Mytilus edulis: one gene and its partners. The protein of the gene in region 3 purifies or fractionates together with the protein of the main gene of each other region. This does not show direct contact. Links are inferred from orthologs where the notes say so. Each region holds a gene or a part of one and is shown on either strand. Other genes may lie near its edges. The genes, in order: ribonuclease P protein subunit p29-like, ribonuclease P protein subunit p30-like and ribonuclease P protein subunit p40-like.

The links.
Region 1: the proteins of ribonuclease P protein subunit p40-like (region 3) and ribonuclease P protein subunit p29-like purify together in Homo sapiens (affinity purification with mass spectrometry; 3 studies listed by BioGRID and IntAct, counting the BioPlex papers as one, with this or other methods). This does not show direct contact. The link is inferred for Mytilus edulis from reciprocal best matches to the Homo sapiens genes RPP40 and POP4.
Region 2: the proteins of ribonuclease P protein subunit p40-like (region 3) and ribonuclease P protein subunit p30-like purify together in Homo sapiens (affinity purification with mass spectrometry; 3 studies listed by BioGRID and IntAct, counting the BioPlex papers as one, with this or other methods). This does not show direct contact. The link is inferred for Mytilus edulis from reciprocal best matches to the Homo sapiens genes RPP40 and RPP30.

Annotation. Positions count from the first base shown.
Region 1 is NC_092348.1:15,791,796-15,799,564, reverse strand, and holds the start of ribonuclease P protein subunit p29-like, read left to right. Parts: upstream 1-4,197; 5' UTR 4,198-4,301; intron 4,302-6,169; exon of another isoform or gene 6,170-6,235; intron 6,236-7,769. UniProt on the Homo sapiens protein: Component of ribonuclease P, a ribonucleoprotein complex that generates mature tRNA molecules by cleaving their 5'-ends.
Region 2 is NC_092344.1:62,972,532-62,980,684, forward strand, and holds the start of ribonuclease P protein subunit p30-like, read left to right. Parts: upstream 1-4,712; 5' UTR 4,713-4,753; coding exon 4,754-4,832; intron 4,833-5,743; coding exon 5,744-5,826; intron 5,827-6,446; coding exon 6,447-6,506; intron 6,507-7,374; coding exon 7,375-7,449; intron 7,450-8,153. Other genes in the region: cilia- and flagella-associated protein 100-like, read right to left, coding at 434-514, 1,147-1,207. UniProt on the Homo sapiens protein: Component of ribonuclease P, a ribonucleoprotein complex that generates mature tRNA molecules by cleaving their 5'-ends. Also a component of the MRP ribonuclease complex, which cleaves pre-rRNA sequences.
Region 3 is NC_092348.1:201,698-210,522, reverse strand, and holds the start of ribonuclease P protein subunit p40-like, read left to right. Parts: upstream 1-5,167; 5' UTR 5,168-5,177; coding exon 5,178-5,297; intron 5,298-6,087; exon of another isoform or gene 6,088-6,138; coding exon of another isoform or gene 6,139-6,156; intron 6,157-8,825. Other genes in the region: pyruvate dehydrogenase phosphatase regulatory subunit, mitochondrial-like, read right to left, coding at 1,894-2,024, 2,368-2,609. UniProt on the Homo sapiens protein: Component of ribonuclease P, a ribonucleoprotein complex that generates mature tRNA molecules by cleaving their 5'-ends. Also a component of the MRP ribonuclease complex, which cleaves pre-rRNA sequences.

The DNA of each region.
Region 1 (7,769 bases), about 16 Mb from region 3:
TTAGTGCAGTGACACTTAGTGATGATATTTTAGATTTTAATTTGTATTGTGTTTATATGCCGTGTCAAAATTATTCCATGGATTTATTTGAAAGTACTTTGGACGAACTAGGTGAAATTATGACAAAGTATAGTAACTCAACAACTATAATATTAGGTGACATGAATGCCAGTGTGAATAGGTCAAAGGGTTATCGCCAAGATAAAGCTTTAAAGTCATTTCTGAACGAGAAACATCTGTCCGTGCCATAGGACTACCCAGAAGAGCATACATATTACCACCACGGTGGGAAACAATCTTCCCAGATTGATTATATAGTCATATCCTCAACTCAAATAGATAAAATCTCAGATATAAAAGTCATGATAGATGAACCGCTTAACACTTCATCTCATAGGTCAGTGCAGGCAACCTTGTCATGTTTCTTTTCAACAAGAACTACTAAGTCTGGAAAATCGATTTCAACACTGAAGAAAGTGAACTGGAAAAAACTTGACAATGAAAAATATGAAAAATTACTTCATCAGAGACTTAGTTATATGTTTATTGACAATAGTATTTTCTCATTTATCGAAATGAGCTGTGAAGAACTTTTTAATATTTTAACTACAACCGCCTTTGAATGTGCACCAACAATTTCTGTTGGAAAAAGGAAACGTTCATGGAACTCTATGCTGCAACAACTCTGTAAACAAAGCAAGGATGCACATTGGAAATGGAAATCTCTTGGGAGTCCGTCTGACATAAACGACCCTGCAAACAGAAAACGTCTCGATATGAAAAGAGAACTTAGAAAACTCCAAAGACAATTGAATGCAGAAGAGCGACATTCTCTCTATCAGAACATTATGGATGCTCATTCTGGTGACAATGCCACATTTTATAAAATTATTCGCCGTCAGAGGCAGAGTGGAAAACGCTTACTCGACTGTCTGATCATTGATGATGTTCATTTTGATACACCTGATCTTATTCGTGAGGCATGGACAAATTATTTCACTGATTTATCTACTCCGTCTGAAAAACCGCAGAATCAACAGTACCGCTCTCAAGTTGAGCTAGACCGTATTTTGCTTCAAGACATATTGGAACATGAAGATGAAAAAACTATTGAATTTGATATTGGAACAATTCAAAAATGTATTTCTAAAATGAAAACCGGGAAAGCTACTGACCAATTTGGAATTTCTGCTGAACATTTTAAATATGGAGGTGAAAAAACAGCCAAAATACTTACAAACTTGATAAATGAAGCATTTAAATTTAAGCGTGTACCACAGTGTTTCAAAGAAGGTATTGTTTCACCGTTGTTCAAAGGTCATGGAAAACCTATCTGCCTACCAAAATCTTATCGACGTATAACAGTTTCTCCTGTAATGGGAAAATTGATGGAATCGGTACATCTTTGTTTAGAGGAACCTAAACTACTAAAGGTACAGAGCAGACTTCAACGTGGCTTTACTGCCGGGGTCAATCCTACTTTTGCAGCACTTCCCCTGACTGAGGCAATCATAGAAGCAAAAGAATTAGGACAAACATTATTTACTACTTTTGTTGATGCGTCATCCGCCTTCGATGTTGTTTGGCATGCCTCTCTGTTAAAAAGTATATTTAAAAGTGGAATATCTGGACAAAGTTGGCAAATCTTAAATGACTGGTACACGAATATGAGCTCTGCAGTTCGATGGGAAGGCAAGTTATCTACTTCGTTTGCTGAACTCCAAGGCGTCCGTCAAGGCAGCGTATGGTCTCCCTCTGTATACAAACTTTTCGTTAATCCGCTAATAAAAAAGTTAGAAAGTGAAAGTTTGGGTTTTAAAATTGGTAATGTGTTTGTGGGTACTCCAATGTGTGCAGACGATCTGCTACTTATCTCTTCAAAACCTGATGAACTCCAGACTATGATTAGTTATACTTCCCATTTTGCAGAGACAGAAGAATATAATATAAGTAAGGAAAAAACTAAAGTTATGATATGGAACTCATCTTTGAATTGCAACCTTTGGAATCAAATGGAAAAGTTTCACATTGGCTCAGAAACATTAGAAACTGTAGAAAATTATAAACATATTGGTATTGATAGAGACTCCCGTGAAGTAGAGGCAACAAGAACAATTATTGGAAATCGTTTAAAAACTGCAAGACAGACTTCATACGCACTTATGGGCTCAGGACTACATGGTTTAAATGGACTTAATCCAGAGGTGTCATGTAAACTTTGGTCAACATATGTGGTTCCACGTTTGTTATTTGGACTTGAAATTGTAAATCTTAGTGCTAAAGATATTTCCCGCTTAGATATCTTTTGTAATAACTTTTTGAAACAAATTCAAAATTTACCTGCTAGAGCCTCCAACGCTGGAGCTTATCTACTTTTAGGTCAATTACCTATTATTGCACTTCTACACAAAAAGATTCTGATAACGTTTGGTACCATTGCCAGAAGTGACTCTGTCGAAAATGATCTTGCTAAGCGTCAACTGTCTACAAAAGGAAAAAACTCTAAAAGCTGGTTTATTAGGGCTGACAAGATTTTGAAACAATATAACTTGCCGTGTGCCTCAGAAGTTTTACTTAAACCAGAGACAAAATACAAGTGGAAAATGAAAGTAAAAAAGTGTGTTGATAACTTTTGGTCCGAAAAACTGTTTACTGAAGCCAAATCAAAACCGTCATTACGGTACTTAAATATCAAAAACTGTAAAATTGGTGTTGTTAATTCTATATGGAAAAGTGCTGGTTCAGAACAAATGTGTATACGTAAAGCCTGTTATAAGATCAAAATGCTATTGGATACATATATTCTACAGTACCACCGTTCAAAATTTTCAAATGGTCAAAAAACTTCAATTTGTCCGCTATGTGAGGAAGGAACTGAGCATTTAGAACATTTTCTTGTCGTATGCTCTGCCTTAACAAGTATTAGAGACATTTTTATCTCAAAGCTTTATACAGTTATTGTACCAAAGATTGGAACCGTTGCATGGACTGACATTTGCGTTAGTAACTCGAAAATGATACAATTAATCTTGGACTGTAGTCGTTTCGAGTGGTATCATGTGTTAGAGAAAAATGACATAAATTTGGTGGAATCAATCACTAGAAGCCTGTGTTACTCGCTCCATGAAAAGCGTAGTGTGCTCCTTGAAAGTAAATAAACATTTAAAAGTTGTAAGGTTTACCAAACTCATAGGCTGTAAATAGATAAAATTGTTTAAAGATAAATGTATAGTGACTGGAAACAGATGTAAATATAAGGCAACAAAATTTTACTGGATGAACTCCAGGTTCTCCTGATAGAGGAGGGATTTACAGAAGGTAACAGGTAACATTCCCCATATCTCCACGTTCCCCAAGACAAAATTCCTGCATCCGCCCCTGCCCTGACTATACTAGTTATGTATGTCATTGGGGAGTTTAAGCGTATATAAACTCATTAACAGAATCAAATTCGAACCAATTCTTCTAACGACAATGAGGACTTTCGTTGTTTTTTGATATGTGGTGATTCCAATAAAAAAAATCGCCCATATTAAGACTGAAAATGCCGTCCAAACTCTAAGGTATATTTAGAAAGAGCAGTCCATAAAATGTGACATTTTTTTTGGATTAACTTGGAAATCTACCTATGGAAAGGGTAAATATTATGCTTTCAGATAAACACTGTTTGTAGACTTTTTGATTTCTTTTCTCTTTTTAATACTGATCAATACTTTCATTGAGAAGGGAACGGTTATCTGACACGGTTATATTCCCTGACAATTCGCTCGGATGTAACAATCATCGATAGTTTAGAATTTGATGTTTGGCTTATCTAACTATATTGAAAAATATATCAAAATTATAAAATAATTTGAATTTTGACTAAACATTTCTTACTTTGACGTAGACAACTTGACCAACTTCAAGCAGATTTAAATTAACAGGATTTAACCCTTATTACATGTGGCGAGTTGGTTAACCAGTTTGGTGCGAGTTGGTGCGGGGCGATTTTTTCAAAGTGGGGCGAGTTGGTGTGTAGGATTCCATTAGTTAAATAAATCTTTAGAACACTAAGTTCTCTTCTGCTAAGCATATACATGAATATATGATTAAACAAATGGACTGGAGGTCAGTATCTTGCATAATATAGTTTATTAAGATATTTCACATATTTTTCTTTTATTTAATTTTGTCCACATCTATTTTTCTTCATTATTAGGTATTTAGATTCACCTTAATATTGATCCTAGTTTGGAGTGTCATTCCCCATATCTCCACGTTCCCCAAGACAACATTGTTCAATATTTTTGATACATTGTGTAAGTATTCTTGGGTTTCATATGTCTTTTAAGTGATCTTAAAATTTAGAAAGAAAGTTATGATTAGTCTCTGTTGTAATTGTATAGTATGTCCATTATCTTGTAGAAGTCACAGGAGTTTGAAATCCTAATAACAGTTTAAAATATACCGAACTCGACTATCACAGTAGAGCTTCTCTGGAACCAACTCCTGTGTAGAAGTAGAAGATCTGGAATCTAATTCCCAATTCCCATAATTGACCCTGTAATTAAATATTCCTATTTAGTTTTCTTCCTTATGAGGGACATTTTAATTTTTATCATGTTTATTTACTAGCAGACTATATTAATAGCATGCCCTAGATAAATAGAATTCAAATGCATTGTATGATTTAGAAAATTCATAACTTAACTGGATTTTGCTGTACACTTTTTTTCGTCCCTGCAAAATTAACAAACAGTTGAGTTTACCTTGATATGGTCCATTCAGGTACACAGTTTAAATAACCAATTATTGTCAGGTATCTATTGTCCATCTCATGTCCATGTCAAGCAATACAGCTCACTTCAATTATTACCTGTGGGGAAGTTCTCAAACCTGTTTCCCAACTTAGTTTATTTTGGCACCCTCTGGAGGAATGAAAAAAAGTGCACGGCAAAATCCTGGTAAGTTTTTATTTTTCTAAAACATAAAACATATTTGAAATTTATTTATCTAGGGCATGCTATGCCTGAAATTTTTTACAGATGCGCAGGTTTGTCTGTACTCAGAGTAAATTTTGAGGTGAAAATACGGCCATTTTAGCCATAGGGTCCACATGAACCTTTAGAGCAAATTTCATAAGAGCAAAATTAATTTGTTGTTAAGCTAAATCATGAACATGTGTAAATGCTTTTGACATCAGAATTTTTTTTCATGAAAAATTAGGGGAAGGTCTAAAACGCGGAAGTGAAAAATGGGTGTATTATAACTAATATCTGTGGAACCGCTTAAGCTAAATCAATAAATAGAACTGATTCTGAAAGCTATTATAATAGGCTATAAGATAACATTAAACAAATATTTATTAAAATATGCATTTTTACCGAAAAGTTGACCGGAAGTCTTTCTTAGTGTGACTCTGGCAACACATTTTTGAACATAGTTTGTTCAGTAGTTACTTTTAAAATCACAATTCCCTAATGTGGTGGTGCTGATTGTCAATTATGAGAATTTAATTTGCCGAATAATTTATGCAATATAGCTTTATAGTTTTCCAACCACTTGCTAAACATTGGAACGGAATCGATGACACCCCTAAATGCACGAGTGACGTTCACTGAAACCAAAGTTTTTGAAGGAAATGCATCAAACTCAAAAGTTATCTATTGCTTTTGTGCAAATCAAAGGAAATTAATTATTTGGTAGCAGCAATAGACTATAGTATTGCCAATAGTATTATATATGATACAAGACAAAAGTTGCTGAAATGTCCAACAAACTTTAACATACTCTCCGGAGCACCTGAGATCACCCCTAGTTTTTGGTGGGGTTCGTGTTGTTTATTCTTTAGTTTTCTATGTTGTGTCGTGTGTACTATTGTTTTTCTGTTTGTCTTTTTTATTTTTAGCCATGGCGTTGTCAGTTTGTTTTAGATTTATGAGTTTGACTGTCCCTTTGGTATCTTTCGTCCCTCTTTTAACTTTATTCAAATAATTAACATTGTACAACAAGACAACAGAATAAAATAAAATCAAGGGGAAAGACCCATGCCAGAGTAAACAAATATTCAGGCTAACATGTACATGTAGTTGGATGAATAGATCTGGATTCTCTTAACTTGTAAGACTTGTAAGGAAATTTATTTTCACAGCTTGCCTCCTTGACTTAAATGTATTTTTATGAGTGACAGTTTTTTTTATATTTGGAAGTGGATTGCCAAATCAGATCATGATCATTCTTCTGTAAACTACAGGTGACTTTGTAATACAATATACATGTACATTTTGTAAAATTACAAGCCATTCAAAAATGACAGAAATCATTGGATGTCTCTTATTAAAGATTATTGGCCTTAAAGTCATAAGAAACGAGTGACCGGTGAAAAAAAATGTTCTTCCATCAGAGCTCAGACATAAACAAGTCCATTTTTGTTTTTGACTTAAAGAAGTCAAAACATGTATTTATTATAATACAATGTATGTGTTTTCAATTTTAGACTTATTTAAGTCAGAAAAAGACAGACTTGTTTACATGTAGGTCTATTTATGTTGATGAAAAAACTTAATTTTACTTGGTGGCCAAAGTACTCCACCTATGACAGCAAAAACCTGTCTGAGAGTTCACAAGGACTTGAGCTATCTATATTTAATTATTTAATTGAACATCCTTACTAAGCACAGATGTTTTACCTTATTTAGTGTGGTTCCAGGTGGTTGTTTTGTAAGGTTAATTAACATTATCTCCAATTTTTTAGACTCTCATTCATATTTTTCTATAGAAGACAAAGCATTGTCCTTCAATGTTGTCATTATTTGATTTAGATGCATGATTTTTTTATAAATATGCATGGGTCTTGAAGTTAACCAATTTTGATAACTTATCGACTTGTAGGAGTCGACATTTGCAACTTTTTGATTCTGGTCAATTATTTCTTGCTTAACAGTATTTGACTTATTTAAGTCGTATTTTGTCTAGCATTAAAGGGAGACAAATCCTAAAACATACAAATTTAGACCTCTATGAGTCAAAAGCAGATTCAGACTTATTTATGTCTGAGCTCTGACTGTCCAATTCTTGAACCAATGCATACAAACATCATTAAGTTAGTCTTCTGTGCACGAATTTATCATTTTTTTCGTGTAAGTTTCGTATAATTGTCAATTTTTTTTTCAATCGGTCAGTGTTTTTGTGAAAATATGGCAAGTAACTAAAGTTCGTGTTTTGAAGCTGAAATTTAACGATGGTCACCTCAGTGAGTGAGTGTTTGTCAACAATCGACAAAAATCTACAAAATTGAGCACGTGTTTAACATGTAAATTCAGATAATAGTTTATTTTAAGGACATCCATTCGTATTGTGATCACTGGATTTTTACGAGATGGGTCACACTGAGGTCACTTTGCATACGGAAAATATGTCGGGGAATTGCTTCCTGGAAGGAAGCAATTAAAATAAAGTAAACTTCTTCTAAATATGAATAAATTAAAGAATTTTCTTCAGAAAAAAGTATATGTACATAAGTTTAATAATGAAAACTATCCATTGAGTTATAAAAAAACATATGCATTTTTTTTTTGATTTGAGGTTTCTTATGACTTTAACTATAAATTTGTGTTTGCATCAAGTGCATAAAAACTATGAAGGGTGATCAAATGTTACCAGGTTAGGGAATCAAGCTCTTATTTAGGTCTTTAGGAGGTTCTACTTTTTAAAACCTGTATGTTGCTGATGTCTAAATCATGACAATGTACATGTATTTCAACTAGTCGTATGTACATGTATATAGA
Region 2 (8,153 bases), on a different chromosome or scaffold from region 3:
ATTGGGGTCAAAACTCTAATTTGGCATTTAAATTAGAAAGATCATATCATAGGGCACATGTATACTAAGTTTCAAGTTGATTGGACTTCAACTTCATCAAAAACTACCTTGACCAAAAACTTTAACCTGAAGCCAAAAACTTTAACCTGAAATTTGCACTATCATTTTCTATGTTCAGTGAACCGTAAAATTGGGGTCAAAACTCTAATTTGGCATTTAAATTAGAAAGATCATATCATAGGGCACATGTATACTAAGTTTCAAGTTGATTGGACTTCAACTTCATCAAAAACTACCTTGACCAAAAACTTTAACCTGAAGCGGGACGAACGGACGAACGAACGAACAGACGGACGGACGAACGGACGCACAGACCAGAAAACATAATGCCCCTCTACTATCGTAGGTGGGGCATAAAAATCAACATTTGTACCTGACAAAACAGATTTGTTTGATCCTGATTTTGCTGAATTTGGGAATGTTACTCTGCCTGACTGTCTTGAACCATCCACTCCTACAAGTAAATATTCATAACTTTAATATCAACACAATAACTAAATGTTCATTGCACTAAATCATTTCACGAAATACGTCACTACATTATGAAAATAAGCAGATGGTATTCGTGTATGATTGCCAATGAGACAACTTAATAATCCACTTGAGTTCCAATTGATAGATAAGGTGTCAACTGAAAGTGGTCTGTGGACAAAGGAAACCTGGATAGAAAGCTTATCTGCATTATTTTATTGTAAATAGGTAAAGGTCAAATGAAATTAATTTATGTACATGTATCATTAATTATTAATTTAGAAGATGACTTTTTAAATATCAATATGAATTTGTATCTTATTCTTAATGACAAAATTGCAACGTTACTATTAATCTAAGTTACTCTAAGCATTCTTAAAACTGTTTCAGATTATTTTTAGAAAAGCTCAAATATATGCTAAATTCTATTGTTCCAAAATTTATATTCTATCATAACTTGTTTAAGGAATCTTGTTTACGAAAAAGTCCTATGTCTTTACCATGTTTATGATCAAAATTTATATAGGAAAGAATTTTTAAAAGTGTCACTTTTGAAATAAAAAAAAATTGAATATTTTTAGTCAGATTAAACTTTTGAACTAAATAACTACTTACTTGACTTTTTCCCTGAAGCATCTGTGTCAGGAGAAGGGGCACCTGTTGGAGAGTCTGCCATTTTGTTTTAATTCTAAAATATAACCATATAAAACATGAAGTCATCAGTTTTACCATGTTAAAACCTCCTTGAAATCTGTTTTCCAATGGGATTTGTTTGTACATTTTTTTGTACCCTAGCAGCTGCTCTATACAATACAATACAATATCCATTCATTTTTGTTAAAATCTGTACATATCAGACTTATGATTTTTTTAATGTTTTCCCATGATTCATTGCATCAAAGCAAAGAATGAACTCTGTTTCCTAAAAAGTTGGGAATAATGAACAATATGGACCATTTGATTCACATACATGTATCTATTAGAAATTGTTATTTACAACTGCAGTATTTATATCACATGTGTGTACAATGTGTCTCGATATGTGATTGATCTGTAAGTCACAGTTTTAGCTACATACATGTACATGTTGCTCAGCCAAAAAATTATTTACCTATACAAGTTTTAAAATAAAATACACTTGTATAAGTTTCCTATAAATTCATTATAAGCATATTAATATTTACTTCTTCAAGTAAATAAAAATTACTTGTACAAGTAGTACCCTTGACTGGGCCTAAATTAATATATTGTTTGTTTCCCCAATCCCAATCCTGCCAAGCCAGGTGTGGGTAAGTACATGAAGGTAGGGAAATCGTTTAACTTTTTCCAAAAAGCTGGAACAATATCGGTCGATCCCACAATCCTTCAAATTGGAAATGAATAAAATAATATTTTTCAGGGTCAGTCAGGATTGGGGAAACAAACAATATTGTATTTTAGGCCCTGGTTATTAGCATGATAAGTAAAACAACCATGCATCAATGACATTCAGGTAATAAAACATGAAAGATGTGTCAGAACAAAACATTATTACTGAGACTTTAACAGCACAAGCATAGACCTTATCCCTATTTGGAAATCTGTGTGACCATTGCTTGACCCTAGAATCTGCACACCTTGAACTATTGACAATCACATCATTCAACAATATCTTTTCCATTGTTACTTGTAACGTCAAATGTTTTTATTATGACCTCAAATTTTAAAGAAACCTTTGTAAAGTTCAGTAATCATGGTAATGACATACAAATCATAATAAGCAAAAAGGTGTATTGTGACATATGATATTTACAGAAAATGCATGAAATTCAATTAAAAAGTTGTCTTTTTACTTTTAGAAAATAACAAGAATGTGTCCTCAGTACACGAATGCCCCACTCGCACTATCATTTTCTATGTTCAGTGGACCGTGAAATTGGGGTAAAATCTCTAATTTGGCATTAAAATTAGAAAGATCATATCATAGGGAACATGTGTACCAAGTTTGAAGTCGATTGGACTTCAACTTCATCAAAAACTACCTCGACCAAAAACTTTAACCTGAAGCGGGACAGACGGACGAACGGACGAACGAACGGACGAACGGACGAACGGACGCACAGACCAGAAAACATAATGCCCCTCTACTATCGTAGGTGGGGCATAAAAATATAATTTGTAACCTTCAAGAGATCATTTCATAGAATACCTTCTTCTTCCTTTATAGTACAGGCCTTCCATTGGAGTATTATCGTACTGTTTTATGTACATGTTTTTGATTTGGGAACAACAAATGTGCGAGTAAGTGCGGATTATTTACAGTGAAAACGGTGCTTATCTTTAAAATAACGATAAAAACGAGGTTGTACATCTATCGACTATCGAAGCTGGACGGACACTTGCACACCCCTTTTGAATGATTCAAGGGTTGTGCAGCTAACTATGTGTTGTGGCAGTCCATTCCAGATTCTGATGGTATCTGGGAAAAATGAGTGACAATATATTTGAGTCCTGGCAAAAGGAACTAGGAATCGTTCATTGTGTCCTCTTACTGTTGATATTTCTGGCTTTAAATTTGTAGTTGGTACCTGTCGCATAGTATCTGAGCAAGGATTTCTTACTATACAAATCCTAGTCCTATAGTATATGCCTTCGCATTATATATTCACTATTTAACGTTTTCATGCTGATATTTTCATTATACAAATCCTTGATCATCATCTGAGTAATTTCAAAAGTGTATTTAACTATCGTTTATGCTAATAAATAAATTAATTTTATTTAAGTAATATCTGCGTTTACTATGAGGAAAGTACCAAACAAACCTATGTAGGACATTAATGTATTACCTAATGTTAGGATTTGTATACAAATCCTTACTTCAGGCAGAGACATACATGTATAATACAAGAGATTGGCAACTCGGCAAAATCCCGTAATATCACACTGCCAGATTTAAACCTCGCGAGATCTCTTTGGGTAATAGAGTCATTATCAAAGTATTAAAAGTACTTGAAGTAAGGGCGAATGTGTAAGCATAAATTAACTGTTTCAGTGTTAAATTTAGTCTGAGATTACTCTGACGTCCAACAGCAGTTTTGCCAGACAAGCTGGGGCCGTGGGACGTCAGAGCCCGTCCCATATCAAAAAGTGGATATTTGCCCACCCAAAATAGATGCACTGCTTCGTCGCTTTAGGTGCCGACTGACGGCCTCAGAATTATATAAATCGGGCATCAATCTGTCCTACAGCCCCAGCTTGTCTGGCAAAACAGTCGTTGGACGTCAGAGTAATCTCGGACTATGTTAAATTTAACATAATTAAAATTAAATAATTTGAGTTCATACATAATTATTCATTTCAATGTCATTTAATTTTGATTTGTATTATTTATATTATCGAAAAAGAGACATAATTTGATATTGAATTTAAATTTTTTTAAAAAGGATATTAAATAAATAATACTTGATAAATTGTATTATATGGGCCCCAATAACAGTAGAAAAATCAATAAAAAAAATTTTTTTTTTTAAAATCTGGAAAATTTTCCCGAAATTTTTTATTGTACTAACATGACTAATGAACTCAAATTCGTTCAATTTTTTTTTGTCATGTTTTTTAATTTCCGGATCTGCGCAGAACGCAGAAATCTACTTCCTTTTTCCGGTCTTGTTGTCGTGAGACTTTGATTAGTCTAGTAAAATATAGGAACTCATCAAGGAACACAATACCAATATTTAATTTTTAATCATTCTTTGGCTTTGATATGAATAAACGTTACTGTATGCATTGCGTTATTTTGTTTACATTGAACATGACGTCATAACTTAAATAACGTCACAAGTAAAATCCCTAACAACAGAACCAAAATCGGAAACGTTACGGTATTTCCGTTTCTTTTTTTCACAAATATTTTAAAAAGTTACAAAAAAAAAATCATACAGACTTCGTCCCCATTCACAGGTAATGCCTGCCTCATATTATGTCTCTGCTTCAGTTCAGGGTAAACCAATTTCAAATTTTAGCTTGAAAAAAGCAGAAACTACTTGCATGATTTCAAATTTTTATGAGTATTCAAATTAGTCATTCAAAAGAATTATTCATGGGACATTTGTGTTATCATAAAGAGCTAAAGTTACCAATTAATGTAAATTCAGGCACCCACTGTTTACAATTTCCGTGGTTACTAACTCCGGAAGTAAATTTGTATGAGAAGGGGAAATAAGCAATAGTGACTTCCGGAATGGCTAACTTCATGGATTTCAACGTGCAGATTAGCGAGAAGCAACATTTAGCCAAAACACTTGCTATGGCAGCAAAATGTAAATATCATATCCTTGTTAAATCAAAATAAGAAATAAGATTCTTCTCTGGCAAAACTTGTGTGTTTATGAAATCATAGCAACATTACTCCAGTTCAGTTGTCCCGACCTAGTCCAAATAAATTATGTTTTCGAGACGTTTTGGCCATACACCACTTCGGCCTTAGTCGTTTCGACCCATTATTCCCTTTTCTTAATTTCTGTGTCTTTCAATGTTTTGAATAAAAAATAAGAGGTCAGTGTATTTTTACTTTGCATGCTTTGTATGAGATAAGACTGATACATATATATATGAGGGTTTGGATGGGGTTGAATGATTAAAGAATAATGCCCTTAAAAATGAAGATTAGAGAGTAACGGGCAAAAAAATGAAGAATAGAGAAATGCATGGTCTAATTTTTTGAAGATTTGAGAAAAAAGGGGTTATTTTTTTTTAAAGATTAGAGAAAAAAAGGGGTGAAAATTAAATGTTTACAGAATAACAGACCCCCCCCCCCCCCCCCCTCCTCCTTATTTTATTATATTTTACAGTCTTAGCAAAAGGTAATGATGTTGTCCCATATTCTCAAAAATGGTTTACCTTTGATAAGTGATATTGGCCTAAAAATTGTACAATGTTAAACTATGTTAGCTAATATACCAGGCATGGGTTACCTGTCAAAGAGGAATATATATTGATCCATCAGAACAAACATGACAAAAGCATAAATGAAAAAATGACAATAAGACAGCTACCCAGCATCTTTCATTTGCAAGATTTTTGACCTCATCATTTATCTTTTATAACATTGACCAAGGACCAGCATATGAAATATGGCAGCTCTTAATTTTTTAACAAATATATTATTGTTAACTTCTGAATCTTTGAAATATAATAATATGGCAATGTGTCTATTTGAACATTTTAACAGTGGGCTATAGTGTTGCTGCTGTAAATCATTGTGCACCAAGTATAGACAGTATTGTAAAGAAAAAAAAAAAAGACAAAGATTATGTAAGTACTGTAATAAATTTGTATAGATATGTATACACACATGTGTAGACAGTAACAATTGTATATGTATAAAATATATAGATTCTTGTTAGAAAATGATGGATTTGAGAAATGATTCTTTTTTGCATCATTTACATGTAAATATGTCTCGCTGCGACATAGCCTTGTTGTGCTAATACAGCGTAAAGCAACCTACAATCAATGTAAATATATATGTGATAATTAGTGTATCTCAATTTTTTAATGTTTGCTATATGTTGAAAAATATGAATAATCTATCTTAAGATTTTAAAGAACTTGATTGCTAGGAACACATTCTTGATTCTTACCATATGCTTAAAGCATTTATATGTTTAAAAGAAGAAGAAGCTTTTACGTCAATGAGACGGCAACGTAAGGGCAAACAAAAACACCCAAAATTGGATGAAACTCAAAACAAGGATAAGAAACACACCAATTCTAACTGGCAATTATAACAGTCATCTATTTTGTAATGTTTATGCATTGTTCAGAAACAGATGCATATCATATGAATGTTTCCCATAGCACACTGTCAGAAGCAACATCTATTCTATAATTATTTTATATTACACTTTATTTTTCTTTTTTCCTTTGTGTAGCATGCAATTCCATTACCAGAAACTTTGAAAGTTGATGCAGAAACTTTAAAGAATATCATGGTGAGATATTTAGTTGAAATTCTGTGAAGACATCTCATTTTTGGTTGCCTGCTGCTCTGGAATTATTTAAGATTTCCTTACACTCAAGTATGTGTCTAAGAAATTTGAAAAGACAAAAATGATATGGGATGTACATGATTCTTGTAAAATCATTTTTTGTACCCCTCACCCATTTTCTCAAAATTTTGGCTAGAAAGACTGTCAGACTTGATTAATCGTAAAATTTGAGAACTGAATTACACAAAAACCATTCATTATAAATACACAATTTTTTCACAGAGTTATGTTTGATTATAATATTTTTAAAATTCATTGATATTTTCCTCTACAAGTATCACATGTTTAGGAAATAGTTCCTGAACGAGATTTCAAGGAGACTCAAACCTCAGAAGAATATGTCCTTAAGAATGAAATGAATACATTAAAAGTGGAATATAAATCACCAATAAATAATATAACAGATCACATCAACCACCAAATCCTAACCACTACAAGACAACAGATATACAAAAAAAAAAAAAAAACTTTGATCAATGCATATTCCAGGTAGCCTAACATTCTGACTTTAACAGTGCTTAATGAAAAATGACAATAAAATCTTTAGGGTAGGCTATTTTTAAGCCGAAAAAGTAGGGACGGTAGGGTTACTGGAACAACACATATATTTTTATTTGGCCTTACAAGCATCATTTCCGAAATTAGGTGGATTCAAATTGAAATCATTTTAAGAATACACCAACCTCTTATAAATATCTATCTAGACTGTATGTTTTTACACTATAAAAAAAGTCGGCTCAAGAAAGTTACAAACAGGATGACACTAAAGTCCAGAATTGGAAATTATGATAATATAAACATTGCTTTTCAGGCAGGAACAAAAAAATTCAGACAGTTATCAAGATTTAGTACCATAATGGAAGATGTTGCACAGCTACAAAAATTAGTAAGTTTAATTAATTCAATAGTATATATATATAGATCTCAATCGACTGACCATTAAAATCATTGACCACAACTCTGCTTGGTCTAAGGAGGATAGACTTGCTCTGGAAAGATTTTGGATCAGAAAATTAATAACTTTGGCACCAAATGGGATAAATTAAAAGGTGTAGTTCGACTCCGTGTAGTGCTTCACATTTGGGTTATATTACTTATTATTACAGTCTCTGTTTCTTTTTCTTAACCTTTTTCATTTATTAAATAAATTTGTTGAAGATACCAATTTAAATTGCTTAATTTTTTGAGGGATGTATAAGTACGTGGCTTAGTCAAAAACTATTATTACATTTTAACGGCCGTTTGTTCGCGATGTTTAAATATTCAGACTCTGTTGTACATTTTGTAGCTACTTTACTCTGTCAATTTCAAATATTTTAAAATTTAGATCCTTCAGTGCTGTCTTTTTGGTAATTTTACAGACATTATCATGCTTATACATGTTATACCATCATAATTGTCATTCCCGTTAAAGTTTTAGAATTGTGCTGGTTCAAATCACACATTATAATTTGTATTTAAAGCATATATGTGAGCTCTCTGTTGTAATAAGCCATATAACCTATGTCATGTTTAACAAATTTTTAGAATGATGCAAGCGTCTTAACTGATGTTCGGTTTGACTTTTTTTATTGTATAAATTTCAAGATT
Region 3 (8,825 bases):
GTATTCAAAGAAAACTGCATATGGATATTACCAATGGCCAATATACTTTTTTTATTTTCAATATCATTGTTTTATTTATTCATTTCTAATAGGAAAACTATGTGCTTACCAATAGCCTATTTTTATCAGAGGTCCCTCATTAAATAAAAATACATTAGTCCAAACTTAAGACATAAATGAGAAAATTGTCCCCCCTTTTTTCTTTAAATTGGAAAAGGGCTTTTTTTGGAATAAACCATAATTCTGTGGTAAAATATAGATTATTTAGAGCAATTTATATATCCCTCAGCTAGATAACTTGCTAAACTGGTTCAAAATTGCATGTACAGTGAGATTTTAGAGCAGGCACACCTCTTTTGTTTTAAGTTCAAATAAATTGGCAATTATTGCATTTCAAAGCAACACTTTATGGTGTCTTGTACTGAAAAAATCAACATACCTTTAATGGCATATAAGAAAGAACTGGTTCGCGGAAATTAGGATGTACCAAAACAGGTACATCAGATCTGACAAACAGACAAAATGTACCCTCTTTTTAAAAATTAGTGCAGTCTTTTTATTATTCAAAAATAAAAGTCCAAAAGTGTTCTAAAATGCTCACCAGTCCTTAATCTTTCATTTGATACCAACAATACCTAAATATTCTACATATTTTGAAAGTTACACTCATGCGTAGAAACTATTTTGTGTTAAATATGTACTACTTTCTGGTATGTGCTTTCTGGCCGGGCCTGAATTAGTGGTGTTACACCAATATACAACTTTCGAGTTCGATGCATTTCCATCAAAAACTCTGGTTTTAGTGAACGTCATTTGTGCGCTTAGGGGCGTCGTCACTTCCATTCCAATGTTGAGCAAGTGGTTGGAAAACTATAATTCTATATTGTACGAATTATTCGGCAAACTGAATTCTCAAAATTGACAATCAGCACTGCTGTCATTAGGGAATTGCCATTTAGTACCTACAGAACAACCATTATTTCTAGTTTATCCTGCACAATGAAATTAACTAAGACGCCTGATGAACCTAAATAGTGCAGGGATACAGACGACCCCCTCTATCTGGTAAATGACATCATAAAGGCAGGCATAATTGACGTGTTTCTGCCGGTGATGGATGAACTCGAAAGTGGTCTACTAGATTGCATTATTGTCTCCTTTGACATGTTTGATATCATTAATATATTTATTCACCCTATAAATAAAATATTCTTATACCTAAACTATAATTCTTTGATTGAAAAAAATCATAACTTCAGTGTCAAAAAAATCAGTAAGCGTTTAATAAAATTATTTACTTATAGATATAAAATAATTATTGAAATTTCCACATCCAAACCACATTTTTAGACTTATGTTTATAATTTGACTTTTAGTTAAAAGTTTCTAATTTTCAATGACCTATGCAGATATAAAACTGACATCATTTTCTAACTTTTCTACTGACCTATTCAGATGAAATAATGACCAATGAGATGTTCAGACTTCCCATTGACCTATATAATACTGACCAATGCCATGTCCTACCTTTTCTAATGACCTGTACAGATATAATACTGACCAATGCCATGACCTGCCTTTTCTAATGACCTGTACAGATACAATAATGACCAATTCTATTTTTGGACTTCCCATTGACCTATATAATACTGACCAATGCCATGTCCTACCTTTTCTAATGACCAGTACAAATATAATAATGACCAATTCTATGTTTATACTTCCCAATGACCTATATAATACTCAGACCAAATGCCATGTCCTACCTTTTCTAATGACCTGTACAGGTATAATACTAACCAATGCCATGTCCTGCCTTTTCTACTGACCTATTCAGATGAAATAATTACCAATTCTATGTTTGGACTTGCCAATGACCTATGTTATACTAACCAATGCCATGTCCTGCCTTTTCTAATGACCTGTACAGTTCAGCACTGTACTTGACTAGTCTAGCTGAAGGAACATCATCTCTCAATTGACCAATTAAACCAACAGAATGCCATGTTGTTCCACATGTATATCTACAAAAGCAAGAGTTAAAAAAAGAAAACCTTTTCTACAAATTTTACCATGTTCATCACATTTTACATGATTTTGGCAGTTATCTTGGTTATGTTAAATTCAAGTAGTTGATTTGCAGACTTAATTGGTCTGATATTATTGCCTCCTCAAAGTTAAAGTTTTTTTTAAATATTACAGTAATATTTTAGCATTCACTTCCGGTGTAGGTTATTAAAGTCCCCTGAACTAGCAATATACAACATAATTTCACCCTCTCTCTGCTAGTTGGTAGCTAGCTATAGATGTCTCAGTTACACCCCTATTAATGTTACAATATCCCCTGACCCACTGTAGGCTACTTACTTCCCCTGCTCCAACAGTACAACATCATTCCAACCTCTCTCTGCTAGATGGTAAGCTATAGATGACCCAGTTACACCCCCACCACATATCACCACACGGGCATGCTTTGGCAAATCAACAACTGTCTTCAATGATTTTGATGCTTCGTTATTGTTTATACAACTTCTGTGGAAAGCTCTGTAGAAGGCATCACTTGTACAGCGTTTGTGTAAAGGAACTTTTAAATAGCGGATTAAAGACATACTTGTTGCTCAGTCTGTTCAAGTCATTTTTAACATCTTATAACAATCCAGTTTGTCATTAGTGATACTAGATATTACACTGACTATGTTAACAAAGCAACTTTATCTAATGCATATCCTGGGGTCTACCCATATCACCAGGGTCATCATCTAGGACGAAACTATTTAAGATCTAAAATGTAAATAAACAACGTTTATAATATATACCTGAGGTCAGAAAATGATAATGGATAAAACCTACATATAAGAGTCAATACTCCTGGCCTAGATTTAAAACTCATCGCAAATATTTTGATCTATTTCAGTTAATAAATTGTATTCATATCAAGATTGTCACCTCATCAGACCTTCCTTGACATTAGACAAAATGTTAGATGTTAAGATGTTTATTATGATAGAGATTAAGCCTCATAAGCTAAAATTCAGCTAAAATCTGGTTTTTATATTTTAGTTTCATCAATCTATATATGTCAAGGATATACGATTTTGTAGTTACTTTGACAAACAGACTGATTAAAATAATTCACTTCTTGTCAGAAATGTTTAAAAAAAATTACAGTTTAGAAAAAAAAAATTAAAACTCTTGAAGGGATTTATATTGCCATCATCCCTCTGTTGATAGTTAACTTTACACATTAAATTCAATAATGTTTATTGAACCATTTTATACAAGTACATTTATTAGAAATTAACAAAACTTGGCAGGTACATATATTCTTTTAAGTAAGCTGATTCTACCTTGTGTATGTGGATTGAACTACAGTTTTGATGAAGTTCACTACAAAAAGTGCCACTAAAAACCTCTAGGTATGCATCTTAGGACATAGAAATTTGTAGAAATTGAGAATACCTTCACACAAATATACTTTCTATTTGCCTGAGCAGTTGAAATGACTGAACTCAATAATATTATTGAAATAACAAAAGCAACCTGCATTATACAACGTTATAAGAGAATTTATAACATTGGTTGCAATGAATTACATTGATTTCCCAGTTAAATAAAAACCGATAATTTCACATGTGAAATAACAACTATTTCACTCTCTGACGTCATACAACAATTGGCGTTGTCAAGACATCAATAAGGGGGGTCAAAACAAACTGTGAATGCATAGGGAAAAGATATAAATGTAGTTGCTTACATGTTTTACATTAATTTCTTTAAAAAAAGCCATTTGCCAATGTAAGAAAAAGAATAACTAATTAAAGAATTCAAATATCTAAAAATATTCAACTTGTGACCCAACAACACTGATAATTAACTCATGGGCTGCGCAAATTCGGAAATTAATGTGAATATTAATGACATGGACATGATTTCCTATATATATATGTAACTGAATTTATTATAGGATTTTATAGCTAGGACATGATTTCCTAGGAAAATTAGTCTGGGGACATAGATTACAATCCCCGGACTAAATATATTTATACTAGTAAATTTTGTAACCATGTACTATTTTTTTGGGGACGAAGTCCCAAATTACGGTTGAAAAATCAATAATAAAAAAAAAAATTCAGGAAAATTTCCCCGAATTTTTCATTCTACTAATGAACTCAAAATCCTTAACTTTTTTTTTCAGATCTACTTCCTTTTCCGGTCTTGTTTGCATGAGACTTTGAATAAAATGTATATAAATTCAACATTCAATCATTTTTGATAATTGTTTGATAGGAAAAAAATGTTACCTGGATAACAGCGTTTCTTTGTTTACATTGAATATGACATCATAACTTAAATAACGTCACAACTAAATCCCTAGCAACAGAACCAATATCGGAAACGTTACGGTATTTCCGTTTCTTTTATCAACATGATTGAATTAAAAAAAAAATAATACAGACTTCGTCCCCATTCACAGGTAATGCCTGCCTCATATTACAGACTTCGTTCCCATTCACAGGTAATGCCTGCCTCATATTATACATATTACTAGTAATATTTTTTCAACCAGACATATTTTACCAGGAAACTTATCACTTAAATACAATTACCATGATTACAGTCATGACAGTTAATGTTTTCCTTTTGTTCTGTTGACAAAGTCTAACGTTTGATTTTGTACGTTTTCATGGACTTTCTCTTTTAGATTTTCAATGAAGTATAGTATTATTGTTTATATTTTCATACAGGTCAAATTGAAATCATTTCTTTACACACTCCCAGTGACTCTGTGTGACACTCAAAAAAATACAACCCTACACTTTCCTTTGTCTCAGAGACAAAGATGACAAAGTTGATTTTCAGAGCAAAACTCATGAATAAAACTATTATTGACTTACTGTTTAACACTGAACTATATATAATACAGAGAGGTTTAACTAATATTGCTGTCTGCTCTTTTTACAGTCTCATGGAGGCATAAATTAAGGCATGCGAATTCTGGGCTCAAAAAATATTTTCATATGTCTAAAGAACAAAAAAAACAACAAAACTTATTCTTAGATTTGAGAATATGTATAATTTTTAATTTCCTGTAAATTATTAGTAATTTTACATTGTTGATAAAAATATGAAAACTTATTTGTAAGCAATGTTCCGGTCTTTAGGTAATTCCGAAGAAAATGGCTGCGCCCATAGAGAAAAGTTTACCCATAGGAAAACTTGTTTTTGAAAAATCCAGCTTTAAAAATGAAAAGTCTAAACATGAGGAGTTTATAGAAGATCATCATTTCAATTATGCAGTATGTTGACTAACCAATAAACACACCAGCACATGTTCAATGTTAGCTGGTCAGATACAATGTAAAAAAAAAAGGGGGGAGGGGGATTTAAGATGGACAAAAATGCTGTTTTTACACCTCAGAGTACAGACTAACCTGTGTAGTTGGAAGAGTTTGAAGGCCTGGCATCCACCAGATTGAATCCTGGTTTGTTGGCCCTTATGTACAATCACCCTGGCACACATACATGTATTTGTCCGCCTAGTCTGAATAATTAGGCCTTTCAAGATGTATAATTATTTGGACTACTTTTCGCCCTAATACCTGTATGGCCAGGGTCCAATCTTCATGCCTGCCAAATGTCACTATTTGCAGGGGATTTCCAAAACAAAAGTTCCCAAATGAAAATTTTTGAAGAGCAATTGTTGAGGGGGGATAGGACCTTTATCAGGACTCTGGGATCGGGTGTTTTTAAGCTCTGGATTTCGGGGTCCGGGAATTCTTTTTTTCAAATTTCGGGATCCGGGATTTTACTTAATTTAAATTCGGGACCTCGGGATTTCGTGTTTTAAGCCCGGGATTTCAGGATCAGGACCCCTCCTACCCCCCCTCATTGTTTTCCACAATATAAAACGAGGCATTGGCTAGGACGGTTACAATACATGGGAATATTATTGTTACTTTGGAGACTAATTGCCGGAATGCAGGGTTGGGCATAGGCACTAGCCTTCTGTCAATAGTAATAAAATTTTGGCAATGGGAAGAAAATAGTGTCCATGGCACATGCACTAGACATGCTAAAGGTTTGTCTACGGTTACAAATTGTGTTATTGTTTCATTAAAGCACTGCAAAGAAGTATTCATGGGACTAGTAATACATGTATGTACACTTTTTCCATGGTCGGGTTGTTGTCTCTTTGGCACATTCCCCATTTCTCAATTTTACATTTGTATTAAAATCTGATATTTACAATATTTCATACAATTTTTTAAAATTTTTATTTACATTGAACTACAATTTTACGAAAGGGTTTTCTCATTGACGAAAGTATTTCAAATCAATTTCGCCACTTTAATTTTTAAAGTGTAAAAAAATTTCGCAATAAAAACTATAAATCTACCTGTCTTCATGTTTTCGACAAGTTTATGACCTCCAGGTAATTAACATTTTCAACAGGTGTTACAAGTTGTGATTACAACTAATCCGCTTATCTCCATCGGATGGGTCACTAATCCGTTAATTATTAATAAACCCCATAATTGAATGACCATCATAATTATTTCACCAGGAAGATCAGTCACTCGGCATTTCAACAACCAGGAGTATAGTTTCGTCATTTAATAAAAAAATATAACAACCCGGACAGTTCGCATTTGGATTTCAATATTTCTCAAACGATCACAATTTGAATGTCGTTTGTCGTAGATTTGTCATTCGAAAGCATTTTCGTCATATTTGATTTAAATTTTCATCAAAAACTTTCGGCAATTTCAATTTAGAATAAGGAACTTTAATGTGTTTATTCAAAACTTGCACGAGTTAAACAGGTGCTTCCTGTATTGTGATCTAGGCATGCGTGAAAGTATTCCTTTGACTATTTATATACATTAAAAACGTAAAATACGCAATCATTTAGAATCAATTAAATGAAAGAGACAAATATATATCTCTTACCAAAGGAATTTAAATCGAAAAATGTTAATTTTCTGATGAATCCGGACTCATTTTGAATTTATTATCCAGGTGTCACTTCCCGTTTTCGTTTCATTTTAAAACCGAAAGTAGTAAACGTGATCTATTGTTGATTTGTTTACAACCTCCTTTCAGTCATTATAATAGTTCCACAAAGGATTTTACACATTTCCAACTTGATAGAAATGATTTCCAAAAATCGATTTAGACCTTTTATAAGGATTTTGATTATGAAGTGAAATAATCAGTTCAAGTTAATTTCTGCTGTGATTCCTTGTTTAAAAAAAAAAGAATCCATCTTTTGTTGATCAGGAATGACCCCTGGAACAAACTGAAGAGAAATTGTGAACTAAATTTCTGGATTCCATTTCAGAATCTTTCATAATAATGACCAATACAGTCAACATGGTCAAATCATACAATAACTGCCAATCATGCTGGTGCCTCAATCCCTTAAAATCTGACAAAGTCAAAAGATGAAGCTAGTAATATACATCATTGGTCCCTTGCTTTTACACAAAATAAGGTTGATTTTAATAGAGTTCAAAAGTGACTAAAGCCCTCAAAATCCTAGCTTAAACCCTGCAAATCCAGTAAGTTGTTTTTGGAGCATATTTTAGTCCGATGCATTTTTAATGAAATCACTCTAAGCAGCCATGCAACACCAACCAGTGATGTGGCAACTTGCATGCTCTGTATTCCTTACCGTACACCAACCAGTGATGTGGCAACGTGCATGCTCTATTCTTTACCGTACACCAACCAGTGATGTGGCAATGTGCATGCTCTGTATTCCTTACCTTACACCAACCAGTGATGTGGCAATGTGTATGGTCTGTATTCCTTACCCTACACCAACCAGTGATGTGGCAACATGCATGCTCTATTCCTTACCCTACACCAACCAGTGATGTGGAAACGTGCATGCTCTGTATTCCTTACCCTACACCAACCAGTGATGTGGTAACGTGCATGCTCTGTATTCCTTACTGTACAATTCCATTCTGCACTATCTCATTTTGCCATGCTTCAGTCATGTCAGTTGGAAAATATATTTGTACTCTTGCGATATTTTTTTTATATGAAGCATGTGAGGTTTTTTATAAATACATTTCAATTGTGAAAGTAATTAATGTTGACATGGTTGACATTTGCCTACAGGTTGAAACTGGTGGAAACAGTGATTTTCATTTTCAAAGTCCAGATGCAAATGTATTTTGGGATTGTAATTTCGTTCTTGTTGGTGACAGTACATGCTCTATTGACACAAATGATTGAACAGTTCATGTATTCATAAATAGTGTACATGTTGTAGTAGTATCTTTAAGAACATCTAAATAATTGATACTATTTAAACATTATTCGTTTTATAATTATTACTAATACCATCTAGAAAGAATTAAGTATCTAAACTTCAGAAGGTTTAAGTTTAATAAATCTAGCATACATTGCAGTCTTGAATGTAACAATAATGCAATGTAACCGTAGACACAAATATTATTGTTACATTCATAAATAATCGATTCCTTACCCTACCTTGCATTCCGGCAATTAGTTTCCAATGTAACAATAATTTTTATATTATTGTTACATTTTCATGTAACCGTAGCTAGTGCCTTAAAACAAACCATTTAATTTTCCAATGGCTATAGGCTTTAAAAAGTATGAACAAGCCAAAAAGAAAAAAGCAACATTAAGATACATTTGAAGACCCCCTTGAATGTTGTTAAGGATTGTAAAAGTCCTCTTGCATGTAAAAACCCATGGGCATTTTAAAAAGTTGCCATCAAGGTGGCCTTGTTGATCTTCATTTTTTTCTTTTTGATGTCTTGTTGCATACATGTAATGTTTATTAT